Linked DNA regions of Macaca fascicularis. The protein of the gene in region 1 interacts with the protein of each later gene in a pairwise test. Links are inferred from orthologs where the notes say so. Each region holds a gene or a part of one and is shown on either strand. Other genes may lie near its edges.

Region 1 (11,332 bases):
CCTTGACCTCCTGGGCTCAAGAGATCCTCCCATCTCAGACTCCAGAGTAGCTGGCCCACAGGGGCGCCCCACCATGCCTGGCTAATTTTTGTATTTTTAGTAGAGACGGGGTTTGGTCATGTTGCACAGGCTGGTCTTGAATTCCTGGGCTCAAGTGATTCCCTGCCTTGGCCTCTCAAAGTGTTGGGATTACAGGTGTGAGTCCCCGTACTTGGCCCTCATTTCTTTCAATTATAAAAAGTCAGCTCTTTGAAAAAAAAAAGGGGCAAAACAGGAATTCCACTTGCCTAGTAAACCACATGTTCCAATATCTTTATTAGTAATACAGGTGATATTTGATCCCCTCCCAAAACAGAATACCAAGTCTGTTCCAGTATTTTCCCAGTGGATTCTCAAGCTTAAGTAAGTGTACATCAGAATCAGTCGGAGAGCTTGTGTTAAAACATTGCCCCGGTGCCCAACCCTGGGTTTAGGATTCACTAGGTCTAGGTTGGAGCCCAATAATTTGCATTTCTAATGAGTTTTCCCGATGTTGATGCCTGCTATTTTAGGAATAAGTGGATGGAAGACAGAAAAAATGGGGGAGATTAATATCCTTACTTAGTACTACTACTTTGTTAGACTAAAGGGGAAGTTATTATTCTGTGGAATGCTTTTTTTAATTGAGACAGCTTCTGTCGCCCAGGCTGAGTGCAGTGGCGTGATTTTGACTTACTGCCACCTCTGCCTCTCGGGTTCAAGCGATCCTCTCGCCTCAGTCTCCTGAGTAGCAGGGATTACAGGCACACACCACGCCCAGCTAATTTATTTTTATTTTTTTTGAAGACAGAGTTTCACTCTTGTTGCCCAGGCTGAAGCGCAATGGCGTGATCTTGGCTTACTACAACCTCTGCCTCCCAGGTTCAAGTGATTCTCCTACCTCAGCCTCCCGAGTAGCTGGGATTACAGGCATGTGCCACCACGCCCGGCTAATTTTGTAGTTTTAGTAGAGATGGGGTTTCACCATGTTGGCCAGGCTGGTTTCAAACTCCTGACCTCAAGTGATCTGCCCTCCTTAGCTTCCCAAAGGGTTGAGATTACAGGCATGAGCCACCACGCCCGGCCTGGAATGTTTTCTTAAACAGCTACATTTTGCACCTGTTTTCTCAAAGCTTCCTTCTTTACCTACCTGCATAAGATGCCTGAAATCTTTGCCCCCAGTCCACACTCCAGACCAATTAAGAATCCTTAAGAATGACTCAAGCAGGCATCAGTACTTGTAAAGCTCCCCAGGTGATTCCAATGCCCAACCAAAGTTAAGAACAGCTGAAAACCTCCCCCAACCGAGGGGCACAGTGAATAGGTCATAGGTGTGCCTATTATTCCTATTAGGAATTGGGACACACAAGCATCCTTTTACCCGTGTGTGCCATTCAAATATTGGGACTATGTTAAAGGCAGCACCCCGACTGTAGGAAGCAGTTCATTTGTTTGGATGAGATGAAGTTGTCCCTATATAACCTCTACCTCGGGCCAGTAGTTAGAGTGAAATATGTTTCAGTAGATGTTTGACAGCAAGTCTGCTTAAAGTAGATTAAAAACGAGTTATCTGAATGTTAAAATAAACCTCATTATCAGCAAAGAGCTGAGCTTCATTATCAAACTGAAGGGCATGTAATTAGAACCATGATATTGATGATGCTCACCCTGAGTGAGGGGAAAAAACCCTTACAATTACAGCATTAGATTATAAAAACTTCCTCTTTAATCAAGGCTTTTAACATGAACAGATTTCTTGAATAAAATGGAAAGTTTCCAGTACACTGAAACATAAATCCACAAGTCACCATACATACAACACCCGGCAGGAAAAAAACAAAAACAGCAAGTTTACATGATCTCTGTTAACAGCCATGGTCTCAAACTCAGATGCTTCCTCCATCTGCCAAGTGTGTTCTGGATACAGAGCACATCGTGGCTTCTGGGGTCACACTCAGCTGAGGCTGTGGGTCCACAGAGCACTCATCTGGCTAGACTATGGTGGTGGTGGCTCTACTCAAGAAGCAAAGCAGTTACCAGCACATTCAAACAGTGTATTGAACATCTTTTAAATATCAAAGTGAGAAACAAGAAGGCAACATAATAATATTATCAGAAAGATGTTAGGAAGTAAGGACAGCTGTGTAAAGCTTGAGGCTGAAAAGTAGCTTGCCAGCTTCATTTCTTTGGCTTCTTGGGTAGTGGGCGCCGGAACAGCAAGATGTGAGGTTCTGAAAGAGTGAGGGAAATCTAAGAGACAAGCGCACACCATTCTATGTACAACCTATAGTGTATTCCACTACCATCTTCCCAGCTATCACCCACTCAGATCTTTATAACTAAATAAAGACTTAAGCATATGGCCTTGAGAAGCAGACCCAGAAGTCTGGACTGTCTGCCAAATACAGAATTGTTAATATCAGTTCTTTTGCTATGTTTATACAGCCCCAGGGTGTCCTTTATTAAGTTTTGCCTGGCAGCTGGGTGTCTGGTGCCTTATCAATAAATATACTTTCCTTTGCTTATTTGGAATACATCCAAGAATGTTTTCTGATGGAGAATGAGGCAGGGACTATGACCAGGCTATATGTGGCCTTAAAAAGAATACCCTCTGATTGCATGGAAGATTACAGGAGGTTTTTTAGTGACAGGTTGTCTCTGAACTTCCCAGATATTTTAATCTTATTTTTGGTCACTAGTTTTTTTTTTTTTTTTTTAATCCCCCATGACTAGAGGGGGAAGAAACCAGTAAACTATTTCCTATCTCCCTATTTGGGTTATACAATCTTATTCCTTCATTCTCTCAGTGTAGCAGTTCTATATGGTTGTTTTTAGCCAGTGCACTGACCTGGTTCATGGATCATATAATGGACCCATCCCTGACTCTGCTGAACGCCAAGATTCCTCCATTCAGATTCAGACATCAAATGAGTTTTAGGGACCAGCTTGGCTATGTCCTTGGGCAGCATGACATGTCTGTAACAGAAACGGAGAAGTGACGAATTTGTTAGTACCAGATATAGTCTCAGACAACTGCCTGTTTACAAGGCCAAGAAAGGAAAGAAAAACTAGTTTCTGATGTCAGAGTTTATATAATTTTATTGTGGGGTAGCAGCAGCTAGAAATACAGGCTATGTTATATAAATTCTGAGAGTATATGAAAAATACAAATTAGTGAATAATTCCAGTGAATAAGCACTTAAGTTCCAGGCACATTTTCTCTGCCTTCATGGACCTTATAGTCTTCTAGTTGATTGCCTACAATATAATGGGAGCCCCACGGAGCACACAGTGTTAATAATTAGAAGGAAGGAAGAGAAGTTATTCTGTGGAGAGGAAACGCCTTTTATGGAGTACTGTGTGGACAAGTCATCACAAAGGATGAAATGAAATATCCTTTAAAATCTAAGCCAGGCAGATCGAGACCATCCTGGCTAACACGGTGAAACCCCGTCTCTACTAAAAAATACAAAAAACTAGCCGGGCGAGGTGGCGGGCGCCTATAGTCCCAGCTACTCGGGAGGCTGAGGCAGGAGAATGGCGTGAACCTGGGAGGCGGAGCTTGCAGTGAGCCGAGATCCGGCCACTGCACTCCAGCCTGGGTGACAGAGCGAGACTCCGTCTCAAAAAAAAAAAAAAAAAAAATCTAAGCCAGGCATGGTGGCACATACCTATAGTCCCAGCTACTCGGGAGGCTGAGGCAGGAGAGTAATTTGAACCCAGGAGTTTGACAAAGATACAGTATGAAGTTTGAAATCTTTGATTAAAATACAGAATAGGCCAGGGGCAGTGGCTCATGCCTGTAATCCTAGCATTTTGGGAGGCTGAGGTGGGTGGATCACTTGAGGTCAGGAGTTTGAGACCAGCCTGACCAACAACGTGAAACCCCATCTCTACTAAAAATACAAAAAAAAGAGCCGGGTGTGGTGGCATGCACCTGTAATCCCAGCTATTTGGGAGGCTGAGGCAGGAGAGAATCCCTTGAGTCCAGGAGGCGGAGGTTGTAGTGAGCTGAGATCTGGGCAATAGAGTGAGATTCCATCTCAAAAAAAAGAGAAAAAAAAAAAAAGACAAAAGGGCTGCAGTGCACAATGGTTGTGCCTGTGAATAGCCACTGTACTCCAGTCTGGGCAATAAAGCAAGACCTTGTCTCTTCCAAAAAAAAAAAAAAAAAAAATCTATCCTGAATCTTATCTTCCTAATTCTGGAGGGATGTACCTTGAGACTTTTTTTGGGAAATTCCGTGCTTTTCTAACCAAGGATAAGTCTCCCTTCATGGCAAAGAAATTATTACCCTGATGTGACTCAAACTAATCCAGATAGTCTTCATCATGCTCAGTGAAAATGTACTAAGTTCTCTCTCTGTGCTAGTAACAGTGGTTTCCCCCCCATTCTCCTAAAAGAAAAAATTCTAGTCCAAATATATGAAAACAGCTCACATCCTAACACCACCCTGGCACAAAATTTGGCTTCAATACATAGACCAAAAAACCCCTCTTAAACCAAAATGCCATTGCCAAGTTAAAAGTTTCATCTTCTAGGGGATGAAATGGTGATTCCTTCCCAGCTCTGCAAATCTCTTATAAGCACATACAGTTTTAAGTTAGTTTAGTTCAGATGTAGAGGAAAACAGCTGAGGAAAAGACAGTTAATTATATCAAAGAGGATCTGGAGTCGTCTTGGTATAAAGATGATTATATATGTGTCAATGCACATCGAGTTCTCTGAAGACCTAAAGCCCTGAACTAGGCTGGGTGAAGAGACAAGAAAAGCAAGTTTTCATTTTATGTTCTCCATCTGAGGAGACAAGATAACAAACCAGGAAGTGGTCTTAATTATCACAATGTAGATTAGCATAATGCCAACATTTTGGAGTCCTGTGTCTTCCCTTATTCCCAATCGAGATTATGCACTTGAAATTTATCAAACCCGAATGCTGTATCCAGTGCCAGGATTCCATCATCCCCACCCTTGGCAGATGGCTATCCAGTGTCTTCTAAACAATTTCAGTCAAGAGGTGCTTTCTCCCACATACCTTTTTCTTAGAGTCTCATCTCAGGCTCTGTCCTCTAGGAAGCTTTCCCCAACTTTCCCTCTTCCTTTTTTTTTCCTCTCAGTATTTTAAGTTTCATGTTCAAGGGTACGTGTGCAGGTTTGTTATATAGGTAAACTCCTGACTCGGGGGTTTGGTGTACAGATTCTTTTATGACCCAGGTACTAAGCATAGTACCCGACAGTTTTTTTTTCCCTGAACCTCTCCCTCCTCCCACCCTTCTCCCTCAAGTAGGCCCCAACGTCTATTGTTCCCCTCTTTCTGTCCCAGTGTTCTCATCTCCGACATATAAATGAAAACACGCGTATTTAGTTTACTACTGGTTTCGTTTTCAATGGTGGTGAAAGAGTCATCACACTGAATTGGCCTTTAGGACACTCCCCCGCCCCCACACCAAGCCCAGGGAAGAAGACCGACCGAAAGTAAGAAGTCAGCCTCTAAGGCGGTGGCGGCGGGGGTTCTCGAAGGGTGGGGTGGGGGGGGGTCCTGGAGTTAGCAAAAGTAGGGGACTGACTTTCTAGCCCCACCCCAACACCCGCGCACAGCTAGGAAGCCGCAGCCTTCGGGTCGCCAGTTCCCTCTCCTTATCAAGTCTCGTGTGCTCCCATCACACCCTGTAATGGCTCCTAGCAAAGGGTGTTATCACCTTTCTGGTGTTCGTCGGTATCACTCACAGTTTTAAGTTTGTGAACAGCAGAGACCATGTGTTATCCTTGCACTTTAGCAGAACACCTGAAACCTGTTAAGTATTCCGTAACCGTTTCCTTTGATAAAGGGCATCTATTAGACCCATATTAAGTATTTTCTCAATGCTCCTAGCCAGTTTTATTCCATTTCAGTCCCAAGCGGTCCCTTTCCTAACACAAGCCAGACAACCATGCCCCTTGTCTTTTTCACGAGTTAATAAGCAATATTCAACTCTCTCAGCGCTACTCTCGCATTAGGGACGCGAGGAAACTCCAAGCTCCGCTTTTGCTACGTTCTCCCACTGGATTCCACAGGATTACTGTAAAACTAACAGTTTCTACAAGGCAAGTTAAGTTTGCCCAATAAAGTTCAGAGAATGATCCAGAAACCCTCATGGGTGTGGGTGGTCAGTACTCTAACCACGCCTACCACTCCCTCCTCTCAACTGAGGGCAGACTCCAAATTCGCAACCACTTTATTGTTTTATGAGAGGCTCCCACCTCCGCGCATGCGCCTTACGCCTTCCACCAATATCACACCCTTGCCCGTTCACATCTCGTACGCATGCGCCAATTCTATCGCCTCAGTTCCTGTTACTAATTGCTTGTTTCCTCAGCGGTCAAAGCTCACGACCTCGCTGTTGCCCCCGCGCCAGCACTAACCGATACTCAAACTCCTCGTCGTCGTATTTGTCCGAATAGTAAATCTGTTTGTGCGACATGATCGCTCGGTTTGCTAGCCTTCAGCCCCGCGCCGCCAACCTCCAAGCAACTCCCAGCAGCACGCGCTCCCACCCACTTTGGCCTCGCTTTCAAACACGCCGCCCGCACTTCCTATTGGTCCGTTTGGCTCAAGGCGGGACAGCTGTACTTCCAAGCCTCCGATTGGCTTAGATTTACTTCTCTTGGGTCCTTATTGGAGGGCAGTTCTTACGTTTCTCAAGAACGAGCGTGGGTCGAAAGTAGGCGTCTTATTGGCCACCACTACCTCTGTGCACGATTTCGCGCTGCCATTGGCTAACTCGGGAAAGTGGGAAGCGTGAAGGAGGGACCCTGAGGTAGAGGGTCAGGGGTTAGTGAGGCCGGAAGTGAGTGTAATAAAGTTTCTCCAGGGAGGCAGGGCCCGGGGAGAAAGTTGGAGCGGTAACCTAAGCTGGCAGTGGCGTGATCCGGAACCAAATCGGCCCGCGGTGCGGTGCGGAGACTCCATGAGGCCCTGGTGAGTCTTGACTTTTTTCTCCTTAGGTGACTCACTCTTCCACTCCGGAACCCCTCTCCCGGGACCCCACTTCCGGTCTTCATTTGTAAGTCCCGCCCCTGAGACCCCTCTCCCCGGAAGTCCCACCTCCCAACCTCTGGGGGCTCCCCCGAACCCCGACTTGATTTTTATTTTTTGTCTCCGACCCCACCCTGTAGCCCAGTTTTCCTGGAAGTCCCACCCCCAGACACGTTCCAAGCCCTACTACGTGAAACCCTTGGTTACTCCTTCCATTCTCCGAAACTCCGCCTCCTAGCAACGATCCTCTGCTAACTCCTGTCAAAAAGCCTATCTCCCAAAAGGGCAAAACCCTGCTCCTCAAAGAACGATTCGAATTTGTTGGAGCCACGCCTCTTCGGGGCTCCGCCCCTCCGAAGCCACGCCCTGTTCGTAATCCGTGTCTGACTGTCCAGAAAGCCTCCCCGCATAGAAGTCTGAAGTTCGCGTCCTGGCGGACCACGCCCCCTTACGAGCTTTGTGGGACCTGGGTCATCAGCTGTAAAGCCTTGTCGTCAATCCCTGAAACTCCACCTGCTTATATTTTCCTGTCCTTTGTCTTTTTTTGGGCTTTGGGATCAGTTTTCCGAGCACTCTCGTGCTCCCCCAGGTGGGAAGTCAAAGTTCCTATCTCTGACTGTGAAGAGTGAGATTAAAGGCAGCCGTTTTCCTTTCTTTCTTTTCTTTCTTTCTTTTTGTTTTTTTTGAGACAGAGTTTCGCTCTTGTTGCCCAGGCTAGAGTGCAATGGTGCGATCTCGACTCACCGCAACCTCCGCCTCCTGGGTTCAAGTGATTCTCCTGCCTCAGCCTCCCGAGTAGCTGGGATTATAGGCGCCCGCCACCACGCCCGGCTAATTTTTGTATTTTTAGTAGAGAGGGGGGTTTCACCATGTTGACTAGGCTAGCCTCGAACTCCTGACCTCAGATGATCCACCCGTCTCAGCCTCCTTAAGTGCTGGGATTACAGGCGTGAGCCACCGCGCCCGGCCCCATTTTCCTCTTTCTTAACCTCCTCCAAGGGTAGAACTATTTGAAGGGGCTGAACTTAGGGTTTGGCACCAGAGGGAGAGAGACTTGCTGTCAGACTCCCAGCCTCATCTCCTGGCCTTCCCTTCCCAGGACCAACTCCATCCCAGAAGTAGCTCTAGGCCTGCCTATCCATAAGTGGATAGGACCATGGATTTGTTGGTGTGTGGCATGTGGGTGTGACAGGAGCAAGTTTTCTACCAGAAAAACGGTGGTTTGGAGTGGGGGTAGATAATAGTGCCCTTTTTGTTGTTTGATTTTTTTCTTTTTTTTTTAAGGGACAGTTCAGTTGCTGCTTCTCTGTCTCTTCCCCTCCCCCTAACCATAGTTCTTGTCTGGGCATTCCTCCTGGCCCCGTTTGCCCAGCCTTCCCTGCTGGAAACATTCCTGAGGCTTTCGCCATTTCCTGCCACTTCCCACCCCTCTCCCCTCCTCCCAGTTGGGCTGAGAAGCCACATACAGCTTTTTCCCTACACCCAATCACCTTGACTTCCAGTAGGCAATCTCTTTTCTCCCCATGCACATTTCAACAGTCATACTTCTTTCTTTTCTTTCAAACGCCCACACCCGTTGGTCTTTCCCTGGCCCTGGATACTGCAGGCTCCCACAGAACATCTCAACAGATGAGGACATCCTAGTGTGTGTTTATGTGTTTTGGGGGTGTGAGGCTATAGTGGAATCCTTTCCTCATTCTCTCTATGCCCGAGAGCTGGCTGGAAAAGAAGTGATAAAATTCCTTCTCAGGATTGGCTGACAGAGTGACAAGGCTCTTCTGGAATGAGCACTAAGGGGAGATTTAAGAGTTAAGCACAGTATCTAACACACTTTAAGTGTTAATGTTGTTAATCAGGATAATTATCTATCTATATTTTAATCCTCTGAAGTAAATCTAAGGGCAATTCCAAGGTGAGCTTGGGTGAATACATTTTTTTTTTTTTTTTTTTTGAGGCAGAGTTTTGCTCTTGTCACCCAGGCTGGAGTGCAATGGCACGATCTCAGCTCACTGCAACCTCCACCTCCTGGGTTCAAGCGATTCTCCTGCCTCAGCCTCCCGAGCTGGGATTACAGGTGCTCACCACCACGCCCAGCTAATTTTTGTAGTTTTAGTAGAGACGGGGTTTCACCATGTTGACCAGGCTGGTCTCAATCTTCTGACTTCAGGTGATCCACCCGCCTCGGCCTCCCAAAGTGCTGGGATTACAGGTGTGAGCCACCTTACCCAGCGGGAATATGTATCTTTAACTTGTTTTTTGTTTTTTGGTCGCTTTCCAGCTTTGCCTATGGCATTCTCCAGAAGAGCAGTGGCAGGAAGCCGTGGGTGGCAGGAATGAGTTTGGGACTGTTCCCTGTGTCCAGCTTCAACCCATCTTCTCCTGACACCCCTTTCTCCTGTGCTTACTTGTTTTTTCTCCTGTTCTTATTGACACAGATGTGTCTTCTGATCTCTCTGTCCCTTCCTGGCCTGTCGTTTCTGCTTCTCTTGGAGAACTGTTTCTTCCACCTCCTCCAGCCAGGCTCCTCCCCTGGTGTGAGGGACACTGTGCTGTTTGGTGGGGCTTTGGGTCCTGTAAGAGGAGGGATATGAATTGGGGTGGTTTGGAGTGGGAGTGGGGACCTGATTGCCTCATTCTCACCCTTGACAGTGTGCTGTGTTAACAAGGCCTGTGGAAAGGGGAGAGGACAGTGCTTGGCTATGAGCCATGGGTCTTGGTGTGGTAGATGGCATACATAGAGAACAAGCCGTGACCAGCATGTCCTCTTGTTCCCCTCTTGCCTGGTAGCTTCCTGATGTACCATCCAGGTTGGACTTTATTCCCCTTTTTTCACCAACTTTGCTTCTCCTCTTGACCCTGCTCTGCATCCATTGGGACCACTTCCTTCCCATCCCCACTTCGCTAGCTCCAGTCCACAGCTGTCGTAGCAGAGGATGCTAATGGCCCAGGCTTACTGTATGGGGTAGTGGTTGGGGGTGGCCTGGGCTGGAGGGTGGGGAATTCGAGTGTCCAACCAGAACAGGAAGGGAAATGCTGAGCTCTGAGATCTCCTCCCTTTTCCACCCGCAGCTGCCTCTGTTTCCTCCCTCATTCCCCTCTACTCTAGCCTGGCTTCCTGCCCCCTTTGGCCTGCCTGTGTCCGGTTTCGAGTGACCCAGACCTCCTATCTCCTTTCTTTCCATCCAACTCCTCCATGCTTCCCTCCCACCCCCACTTTCCTTCTCCCCAGATTACTAGTTGTTTGTGTAGGGCAGGGGAGAGGAGCTTGGATAGCCCTACCCTCTGCTCCAGTCCGAGGTTGGGGCGGGGTGGGGGCTCAGCCCCTCTGAGCCTGTGAGTCAGCACTGTCCTCGTGATTGGTCTCTCCCTTTAGCTCTCCGCCCCTGGGGAGGAGCCAGGCAGCTCTGGGTCCAGCCTGTTCTCTTCTCAGCCAGAGAAGAGGCTCCACGTTGGGCGGGGATGGGGCCCGAAACTGTCTGGGTCTGAGCTGGGGAGCGGAAGCCACTTGTCCCTCTCCCTCCCCAGGACTTCTGTGACTCCTGGGCCACAGAGGTCCGACCAGGCTAAGGGCCTGGGAATACCCCCTGCCTGGCCCCCTTGCCCAAACTGGCAGGGGGGCCAGGCCGGGCAGCAGCCCCTCTCTCACCTCAGCTATGGATCTCCTGCCCCCCAAGCCCAAGTACAATCCACTCCGGAATGAGTCTCTGTCATCGCTGGAGGAGGGGGCTTCAGGGTCCACCCCCCCGGAGGAGCTGCCTTCCCCATCAGCTTCATCCCTGGGGCCCATCCTGCCTCCTCTGCCTGGGGACGATAGTCCCACTACTCTGTGCTCCTTCTTCCCCCGGATGAGCAACCTGAGGCTGGCCAACCCGGCTGGGGGGCGCCCAGGGTCTAAGGGGGAGCCAGGAAGGGCAGCCGATGATGGGGAGGGGATCGTAGGGGCAGCCATGCCAGACTCAGGCCCCCTACCCCTCCTCCAGGACATGAACAAGCTGAGTGGAGGCGGCGGGCGCAGGACTCGGGTGGAAGGGGGCCAGCTGGGGGGCGAGGAGTGGACCCGCCACGGGAGCTTTGTCAATAAGCCCACGCGGGGCTGGCTGCATCCCAACGACAAAGTCATGGGACCCGGGGTTTCCTACTTGGTTCGGGTGAGTGAACATCCTCCTTTCCATTGCCTCCCAGACCCCTCCAGTTCTTCTGCTCACTCCAGCTTGGCTGGAATTCTTTTTTCCTGCTGTTCCCCAACAACCCTGTTTCAGTGTTCTATTTCCTAAACCTTTCCCATCCCTTCCCCAATTC
Region 2 (9,958 bases), on another chromosome or scaffold:
GTATTTTACAACAATTTAAAAAAATGTAGGCCAGGCGAGGTGGCTCATGCCTGTAATCCCAGCACTCTGGGAGGCCGAGGCGGGAGGATCACCTGAGGTCAGGAGTTTGAGACAAACCTGACCAACATGGTGAAACCCTGTCTCTACTAAAAATACAAAAATTAGCCAGATCCCAGCTACTCAGGAGGCTGAGGCGGGAGAATCGCTTGAACCCAGGAGGCAGAGTTTGCGGTGAGCTGAGATCGTGTCACTGCACTCCAGCCTGGGCGACAGAGCGAGACTGTTTCAAAAGACAAAAACAAACAAAAAAAGTAGGTGGATGGGATCATCTGGGGAGAGACTGAAAAATAGGGAAGGTGGTGGTAGAAAGAGAAAACCTTGAAAACCAGCCATGAGAGCAGAAGCGTCGAGAAATGGGCCTACATGAGGGACAGAGAAGGAACATCTAGGACAGATGAGGAAAGCCAGAAGAGGATGATGTCCCCTGAAGCCACGGAGTTGAGTTTCCAGCAGGAGGGTAGATGGGGGTGACTGAGCGTGTCTATGTTGCTTGGCTGTGAACCTGAACCTGAGCCACTGAACCCACCTCTGTTTGGCACCTTGATTTTGGTAGGTCTGCCTGATTCCAGCTCCTGCTGATGTCACTTCCAGGCACTGCCCACACCTGGCCCAGGCTGCATCAATGCAAGATTCTGGCCAGGTCTCCTCTACTGCCTCCCTCTCTCACCTCCCCGTAGCCAGTCCTGTTTTGTCCATTGTTGATATCTTGGTGAGACAAATTGTATTTTAGTTAAAAAGACATAGGGCCAGGTGCAGTGGCTCATGCCTGTAATCTCAGCATTTTGGGAGGCCAAGGCAGGTGGATCACAAGGTCAGAAGATTGAGACCATCCTGGCTAACATGGCGAAACCCAGTCTCTACTAAAAATACAAAAAAATTAGCCAGGCATGGTGGCGGGCACCTGTAGTCCCAGCTACTCAGGAGGCTGAGGCAGAGCTTGCAGTGACAGTGAGCCGAGATGGCACTACATTCCAGCCCGGGCGACAGAGTGAGACTCTGTCTCAAAAAAAGAAAAGAAAAGAAAAAAAGGACATAGAGGCCAGGTGTGGTGGCTCATGCCTATAATCCCAGCACTTTGGGACACAGATGCAGGTGGATCACCTGAGGTCAGGAGCTGGAGACCAGACTGGCCAGCATGGAGAAACCCCATCTCTACTAAAAATACAAAAATTAGCTGGGCGTGATGGCGCATGCCTGTAATTCTAGCTACTCAGGAGGCTGAGGCAGGAGAATCACTTGAACCCAGGAGGTGGAGGTTGCAGTGAGCCAAGATGGTGACATTGCGTCCCAGCCTGGGCAACAAGAGTGAAACTCTGTCTCAAAAAAAAAAAAAAAAAAAAAAAAAAAAGACAGAGAATATGGGATATTTTTTCTTATGTCATTTTTACTACTATTAATATACACTTTTCTACCTTGAAAAATAAAATCTCCAAACTTTGAATTTAAACATTGGGAATGGTTACTTTGTGGTCAAGATTACTCTATTAACAATGTTTTGTTTACAAAACATTGACTATTTGATAGGTCATAGTTTAGGGAAACTGAAAGCTAAACTTTTACAATGAGAAATGAAGACCATGCATTTGCATGGGAGAAAAAAAAATTTGGGGGCAACAATTATATTTGGTACCTACCTTTTGAAAAACTAAAGGGGGACAGCTCTGTCTAGATCATTTCTTGCCGTTTTCTCTTGCTTCTAGACATTGTCTGGTCAATCAGAAGGTTGCACACAAGAGCTGTTGTTGTTCGCTCTGCAAAGAAAAAGGCCTGGGAACTTTGCTTTTTATTGATTTTATTTCTCCAAGAGTTTTCTTACAAAGTGAATTGACCTTGCACAATTAGTTTGATGTAATCTTAAGAAAATACATGAAGTATGCTTTAGAAAAAATCATGCTCTAACCAGCCATCTCATTTGGCAATCATTTTCCACAGCTCTTGCCCTTTTTGGGGTGGAGAGGTGGGGTTACATGTGAATGATTACATCTGCGTACAAGAGATCCAAACTCACGTTGACCTCCCTCTGCAACACCAGCTGGTGTTGGGAGACAGAGCGCTGAGGCAGCCAGGGCTTCAGTCCCTCATGCTCTTTGGCCAGCAGTCCTCAAGTGGCATCTCCAGAAGACCTGGCTGAGGTCTGGGCAGTCCACACACAAAAACCTAGCATTTCCTCCCACAATAACAGCATTTGTAGAACACACAGCAAGAGCTTAAATCCATGCCATGGAGGAAAAGGGATTTTCTCGTCCCCCTTTGCAGTCACAGGACACTGTAGCTAGAGAACCTTCTATGCCAGGGTTCCGCATCTCCAGGCCCTCATCCGAGCCCTCCTTATTATCTCCCCTCCCCTCCAGAATGTAGGGGACACTTTCTAGACTCTATGTTGTTTCCAGCCCATAGTTGTTCAGCCCAGCAACTGGGCATCTGGAGAGGTTTTCAATCCACAAATCGTGGATTTAAAGGGAGTAGCTGCTCCTTTTCTCTGGAGCACAGCCCAACAGCCCCTGCTATATCCCTAAATTGATTTTGATTTTGAAGCAGCAGGTGCTGTCATGGGTTCATTCTTGTCCACCCAGTCAAGCCTGTGTGGACGGGCCTATATGGGGACACAGAAACCTACATGAGGCTATTTTTCTGTCTTCTCTAGTCAGTGCTTATAAGTGTCCCCACTTAGCCAACAAATTTGGAGATAGGGATGGGTTTCTGGCTTGCAGCAGCTGAGTTGCTGTCCTTGACTCTCCACATTCTGATTTTTCTTGGGGTTTGGGGACAACTAAGGGGCCCCAAAGCCTCAGATGTACAGCCCATAGAGGAAGGTGGGCAAGGGCGTGTGTCTCCATCATTTCCTTCCTTTTGAAGCATTTACTATCCGAGTCGCCAGCTGGTTCCAAAGCGTCTCTCCCACCAGGCCAGGTGGTGTCCAGACCAGAAGGAGGCCTGGCTGACACAGGAGAACGGCAGTAGGAGGAGGCATGGGTGGCAGCCAAGAGACCCTGAGAAGCAGTGTCTCTGAAGCTGTTTCCAGATTCATCCGGCCTGGTAGGATCTCTGTCTGATTCCATGAGAGTGTGGGAGCAAAGGCCCTAGGGAAGAGGCTGCTAAGAGGTTGGATAGAACTTCCTGGACAACTCTAAGACTCCCAGGAATGCTGGGCAGTTTCATATCTAAGAGTCAGTGAAAGATGTGGAGAGGCTGCCCCGGCTGGGGAAGGAAGAGGGTAAAGGTGGCATTGGGGTGGGGGTAGTTGGGTAGGGGGCTCAGTCCTTAGTCATTTTTCCTCCACGCAGAATCTCACTCTGAACTTGGAGAGGCTGCAGAGTCCCCATCCTCGGGGTCCTGCCCATTGGGGGAGATGGGCTGACCTCCCTTCACACGCTTCCACTTCATCCTTCGGTTCTGGAACCACACTTTGACCTAGGGGAGGAAGCAAAGGAGCCTGGGCACTCCAGGGCTGGTGTGACCTCCTTCCCATGTCAATGCTCAGGCTAGCCAGGGTGTAACTCCAGGGACCCCAGCTTGAAACCATCACTTACCACTCTCTACTCCCCAAACGCCCCAGGAACTAAGACCAAAGAGAGGACACACCAATCTGCCCAGAGGTCTGTCTTGTGTCTTGGGATAAAGCCCCAGACAGGGGAACATGTTCTAAAAACACTCTGCATTGGCCCCACCCTCTTCACATGCCCTGCCCCACCTGTGCCAGGTCCCCCTGCGCCCTACCTCCATTCCCCAAGGGTCTGGGAGCAGAGGTCATCAGCCTTATCCTTAGGCACATTTATAGAGAACTTTTTGGTTTAGATAGCTCTGGTCAGCACATTTTCTCATCTAAGCTTGAGTATTACCTGCAGGATTATGGTCCCATTTTACAGATAGAGACCCAGAGGTCCCAGGGCTAGAAGAAGTGATAGAGGCAGGACTTGAATCTAAGTCTTCTGATTCAAAATCCAGCCCTCTAGCAGAGCGCTCTATCAACTGAAATCTGCTATCAAATATTACTGTTATTATTACTATTATTCCATATCAGAGCCTGGGTGTGGGGGTGTGGGGTGGCTGAAGGGAAAGTCCAAAACAAAGGGCCAGGGAAGTTTTTCTCAAAGTGTGCCCAGGAACCAGCTGCATATCCAGATCGCCTAGAGAACATACTAGAAATACAGATTCTCAGGCCCACTCATTATGGTAAAATCTCTCTCCAGACCTCTGGAATCCATATTTTGAACAAGTGCCTTAGAGGATTCCAACATATACTCAAGTTTGGGAATAGCCAGACCAGAGCTCCCAACCTAACTGCATATGAGAATCACCTAGGGGGCCTTTGAAAAATTCTGAGGCCTGTATCCCATCCCAGGCCAATTAAAATCATCCCTAGGGGTAGAGCCCAGACATCAGCACTATTAAAATCTCCCCAGGGGTTGGGCATGGTAGCTCACGCCTGTAATCCCAGCACTTTAGGAGGCCGAGGAGGGCGGATCACCTGAGGTCAGGAGTTTGAGACCATCCTGGTCAACATTGTGAAACCCCGCCTCTACTAAAAAAGAAGACAAAAATTAGCCAGGCGTGATGGCGCATGCCAGTAGTCCCAGCTACTCAGGAGGCTAAGGCAGGAGAATTTCTTGAAGCCAGGAGGTGGAGGTTACAGTGAGCTGAGAACGCACCACTGCACTCCAGCCTGGGTGACAGAGCGAGACTCCGTCTCAAAAGACAAAAAACAAAAAACAAAAAAACCCAAAACTCCCCAGGCTATTCTCAGGTATGGCCACAGTTGAAAACCACTGGACTGGCTGGAGGAAGAAAAAGAAGGTGAAGGGAGTGGTGGTGGGAAAGGAGGGAAGGGAGGGAGATGGGAGAGCAAATAAGAGGAGGGGCCGCTGGGGGCGCACCTGGCGCTCAGAGAGGTCCAGGTTTACCGCGATCTCGTATCTGCGGAGCCGAGTCAGGTAGTTATGATGGGCAAATTCCGCCTCCAGCTCTCGCAGCTGCTCCTTGGTGAAGGCCGTCCTCTCCTTGCGGGCCTTGCTGCTGCCCTCCGGCTTCCCTCTGTTCTCTTGGTTGTCTGGGGAGAGAGGACCCCAAAACAGGAAGACATGGGCTGAAGGAGATTCCATTCCCTTTCTTTTGCCCTTGAGCAACTAGGCAGTCTTTCCCACTCTCCCTTAATTTTACAGGATGCTGAGAAAAAAGCTACACTGTCCTTTTTATTCCTTCTGGTGTCTTACCCATATTAGAACTGGGAAGGTTTTTTTTTTTTTTTTTTTTTTTTTTTTTTTTTTTTTTTTTTTTTTTTTTGGCTGTCCCCTGCCCCTCCTCCCGGAACTTTCTTTTATTCCCAAAGCACAAGAAGCTACTCTTGGCTGTTTAATGATCTCTACTCCCCAGCCCACCCCCCAGTATGACATTACTTGTGGTCATAGGCTTGAGGGGTGAGATGCTCTAAAACAAAGCCTCAAACTATGGTCCTCAGATCAGCAGCATCAGCATTACTTGAGAGATTGTTAGGAATGCAAATCCTAGTCTCACTCCAGACCTACTGAGTCAGAAACTCTGGGGATGGCGCTCAGCAGTCTATTTTTGCAAACCCTCCAGATGCCTCTGGTGCTGTTTAAGTCCGCCGCTCTAAGACCTCATCACTCAAAGGAGTGCCTGGGTGCCAGCAGCATCAGCAGCACCAGGGAGCTGTTCAGATCTGAAGGATCTCAGGCCTGCCCCATACCTACCTACCGAATCAGAATCTGCCCCAGAGGGCCAAATCTGGAAAACCATCTGGACCCCTCTGAAGGAGGTTGCATGTTAGATTCAGTGGGGCTCAGTCATAACTGTCAACAGGGTCAGGGAACACACTCTGTGCCAGGTGCTGTACCTGACATATATTAGCCTCTTAATCCTCAATAGCCCAACCAAGTGGTTCTAGTATTAGTCTCACTTTATGGACCAGAAAATGAACACAGAGAAGTTAAGCAAATTGTCCAAGTTTATTCAGCCAGGGGGTGTGGGAGACAAGAATCAAATTCAGGCGATTTGACATACACATATTGTTCAAATGAAAAATATGTAGGGGCCAGGCGCGGTGGCTCACGCCTGTAATCCTAGCACTTTGGGAGGCCAAGGTGGGCGGATCACGAGGTCAGGAGTTCGAGACCAGCCTGGTCAACATGGTGAAACCCCGTCTCTACTAAAAACACAAAAAGTTAGCTGGGCATGGTGGCACGCGCCTGTAATCCCAGCTTCTTGGGAGGCTGAGGCAAGAGAATCGCTTGAACCCAGGAGGCGGAGGCTGCAGTGAGCCGAGATCACGCCATTGCACTCCAGCCTGGGCGACAGAGCAAGGCTCCGTCTTGGGGAAAAAAAAAAAAAAAAAAAAAAAAAAAAAAAAATATATATATATATATATATATATATATAGGAAGGGCTTACAAACGATAAAGTCCTGAACAAATAAAAGGGGTTGCATGGTTATCTCTTGAGCAGACGGGTGGGAGGCAGCTCTACCTTCACTTTAATGAATGGAGGTGGTGGGTGGAGAGGAGGTGGGAAGAAGACCACACACCTACACAATTAACTCGCGATGCATGCCACATGGCCAGGGAATGGCTGCAGGAGCCATGCGTGCGCGGCTTTAACATTTAAAAGTCGTTGGCTTCATTGTCCTCCTTTTTCTTTTGTTTTTGAGACGGAGTCTCGCTCGGCTCACTGCAAGCTCCTCCTCCCGGGTTCACGTCATACTCCTGCCTCAGCCTCCCGAGTAGCTGGGACTACAAGTGCTTGCCACCACGCCCGGCTAATTTTTTTTTTTTTTTTTTTTTTTTTTTTTTTTTTTGTATTTTTAGTAGAGACGGGGTTTCACCGTGTTAGCCAGGATGCTGTCTATCTCCTGACCTCGTGATCCGCCCACCTCGGCCTCCCAAAATGCTGGGATTACAGGCGTAAGTCACCGCGCCCGGCCCATTGTAATTTTAGACACGGAAACCGTGGCTCCGAGTGAGGTGCTTTACCGAAACCTGCGCCCCAACTTCCTGCTCCCTGAAAGACCCATCTCTGCCTTGCTGGAGAGGAGTGTTGGAAAGAGGGATCCGGTGTTTTCAGAGGCCGGGTTTAAGCTACCTGGGCGGCTGGGCTGGGGAATTCAGACCAGCTAGTGTAATGCAGAGAAGCCGCCTACGCAGTCGGCTAAGCAGCCGCATTGGGAGTGGGTGGCGAGGCAGAAACCCCACATTAACCCGGCTATCCGCTTTGGAGCTTTGAGCCTAGCTGGTTCCCCTCCCAGCACCTCCCTCTATTGCTTTCCACTCAATCCCTTTGTATTTCAGTTTCCGCGTCCTCCGCCTCCGCGCCCGTCTGCCTCGGGCTGGGCTGCTCTCTAGCAGTACGCGCGCGGTAAAGTGATTTGGGCACTTGGCCCGGCCAACCTCGCTTTGCGCGTTCCCGGCCCCCGCCGAGGCATGGAAGGGGAGTGGGTGCCGCCGTTCCGGGAACCCGAGAAAGCGGGGGAGGGGCCTGATAGTCCCGGTGCCTGATAGTCCCGGTGCCTGGGTCAGGGGTGTCGTGGCGCCCTGGCCCGGGGGTCCGCGTCCGAACCGGGTTGGCCGCCCGCGGGGCGCGCCCGGGAAGCAGGGCAGGGGGCCGAGTTCCCGGCGCGGGCTGCCTGCCCGGCGGCCTCTAGCTCCAGGCCGGAGAAGGCAGGTCCAGACCCCTCCGGAAGCGGGAGCGTGGGCTGGAGGGAAGGACGCGCAGCCCCGGGCCGGGGTCCCCGAGGAGCCCTCCGGCCTTGGCCGCCGCCAGTCCCGCGCTCCCTCCTGGCAGCAGGCCCGGGAGGGTCGTTCACAAGCGGATGACGGGCTTCCTGTAGCACAGCCCGGCCCTCGGGCCTGGAGAGAGGCAGGAAACCTGGGCTTAGACGACGGGCGCGGTCGGGGACTGGTTTCCCAATCTCCTCCTGTCCCGAGGCTCAGTGTTTCCCAGCCCTTCCTTTCCACGGTTGCGGGGAGTGGATGGCCCAGAGGACTTGCTCAGAGGCTTGAATCCTGAATCTCCTTGCTGGAGACTGAGGAAATCACTTAACTTCTCTGGGTGTCGGTCTCCTCATTAAGAAATTGAGGAAAACAATTTCACCTACCTCCTAGGGTTATTGGAAGACTGAACGCGTTAATATGTGTGTGCAAAATGCTATTAAAGTTGAAAAGTGGCGGCTCACGCCTGTAATCCCAGCACTTTAGGAGGCCAAGGCAGGCGGATGACCTGAGGTCAGGAGTTCAAGACCAGCCTGGGCAACATGGTGAAACCCCGTCTCTACTAAAAATACAAAAACTAGCCGGGCGTGGTGACGGGCACCTGTAATCCCAGCTACTCTGGAGGCTGAGGCAGGAGAATCACTTGAACCCAGAAGGCGGAGGTTGCAGTGAGCCGAGATTGCACCACTGCACTCCAGCCTGGGTGACAGAGTGAGAATACATCATAAAAAAAAAAAAAAAAAAAAAAAAAAAAAAGCCACGAGCGGTGGCTCACGCCTGTAATCCCAGCATTTTGGGAAGCCGAGGTGGGTGGATCACCTGAGGTCGGGAGTTCGCGACCAGCCTGACCAACACGGAGAAACACCGTCTCTACTAAAAATACAAACAAACAAAAAAAATTAGCCCAGTGTGGTGGTGCATGCCTGTAATCCCAGCTACTCGGGAGGCAGAGGCAGGAGAATCGCTAGAACCTGGAAACCGGAGGTTGCATTGAGCCCAGATTGCGCCATTGCTCTCCAGTCTGGGCAACAAGAACAAAACTCCCTCTCAAAAAAGAAAAAAAAAATCTAAAAATGCTGGACAAATATATTCTCCAATTTATCAGTTCCACGAGATGACACTGAAGGGCTAGGATAGAAACAGCTGCGCTTCTTGAAGGCTTCTGAGTGTGCCCAGAGGCATCCGCAGCTTTAACCTCACCACAGGGCAGCCTATGAGTGAATACTGTTCTTACCCCCTTTAGTACTCTTACCTGGGTTTGTGTGATAATTTGATTAATAGCTGTCTCCCAGGGAAACACTTTTTCTCACTCTAGCATCTAGCCATAGTTGCTTCTGTATCTGGCACAACTGCCCCCCCCCACCCCGCCCCCACCAGTTCTGCACATAATTCTCCTAGAGAGAAGAGGAAAAAGTACTTGCTAAGTATTTGCTAAATCATCCTGTTATACAGAGGAGGCAGCCTCAGACAGGCCCAGGAACTTGCCCAGTGTGCCTGGCAGCTTTTAGGTGACAGAAGGGAGATTTGAACCCAGATCTATCTGATTAGAAGCAAGGCTCTCCACTGTCTCCTGGCTAGCTGGCCCAGGTTGGGGCCTGGAGCTGGACCATGGCTGCTCGGCTTGTCACCACTTCCAGAGGTCCTGGGGGCACTATCCGATTTGCTACCCATACCTACTCTCCAAGGCCTGCTTAGGTGTGTACAGGTGCCTCATGGTGTCCCCCAAAACAACTTTCCCCGCCCTAGTTCTGCACATAGTCCTCCCTAGAGAGAAAAGGGAAAAGCAGGAGAGGACCCTTTTGGAGTTGGTCTTGGCCTGGTTGTGTGGGCAGGGCAGCTGACCACTGCCAGCCAAGCTATGCCCCATCCCTGGCCACCTCTCCTGTCTGTCATTGTCCTGATTTAGCCTCTGGGGCAGAGGAAACAGGAAGCAGCAGCCAGGGCGGGAACTGAGGGTCTCAGCTAACCCCCTGTGTGAACCTGGGGGCAATACCTACTAATGGTGGGTGGGATGGATATTGGCTCTGGGAGAGCGGTTGTCCCTTGTCAGCTTCCCAGAGTGGGATCAACGTTCACCACTGTTGGAAATGATGAAGGGACCAGAAGTATGGGAAGCAAGCTATGAAAGTTGAAGTGAAAGTTATGGCTCTCTTTGTTCTGCAACAGTATTACAAATTGCA

The links.
Region 2: the proteins of CKS1B (region 1) and MEOX1 interact in binary tests that used the Homo sapiens proteins (3 or more experiments, as listed by UniProt). The two-hybrid records come from large-scale screens. The link is inferred for Macaca fascicularis from reciprocal best matches to the Homo sapiens genes CKS1B and MEOX1.

The regions. Positions count from the first base shown.
Region 1 is NC_088375.1:106,165,653-106,176,984, forward strand, and holds CKS1B (cyclin-dependent kinases regulatory subunit 1), read right to left. Parts: upstream 6,545-11,332; 5' UTR 6,480-6,544; coding exon 6,421-6,479; intron 2,995-6,420; coding exon 2,867-2,994; intron 2,250-2,866; coding exon 2,197-2,249; 3' UTR 1,725-2,196; downstream 1-1,724. Other genes in the region: SHC1 (SHC-transforming protein 1), read left to right, coding at 10,687-11,181.
Region 2 is NC_088390.1:64,671,503-64,681,460, forward strand, and holds the end of MEOX1 (homeobox protein MOX-1), read right to left. Parts: intron 5,108-9,958; coding exon 4,935-5,107; intron 3,472-4,934; coding exon 3,349-3,471; coding exon of another isoform or gene 3,326-3,348; 3' UTR 1,836-3,325; downstream 1-1,835. UniProt on the Homo sapiens protein: Mesodermal transcription factor that plays a key role in somitogenesis and is specifically required for sclerotome development. Required for maintenance of the sclerotome polarity and formation of the cranio-cervical joints.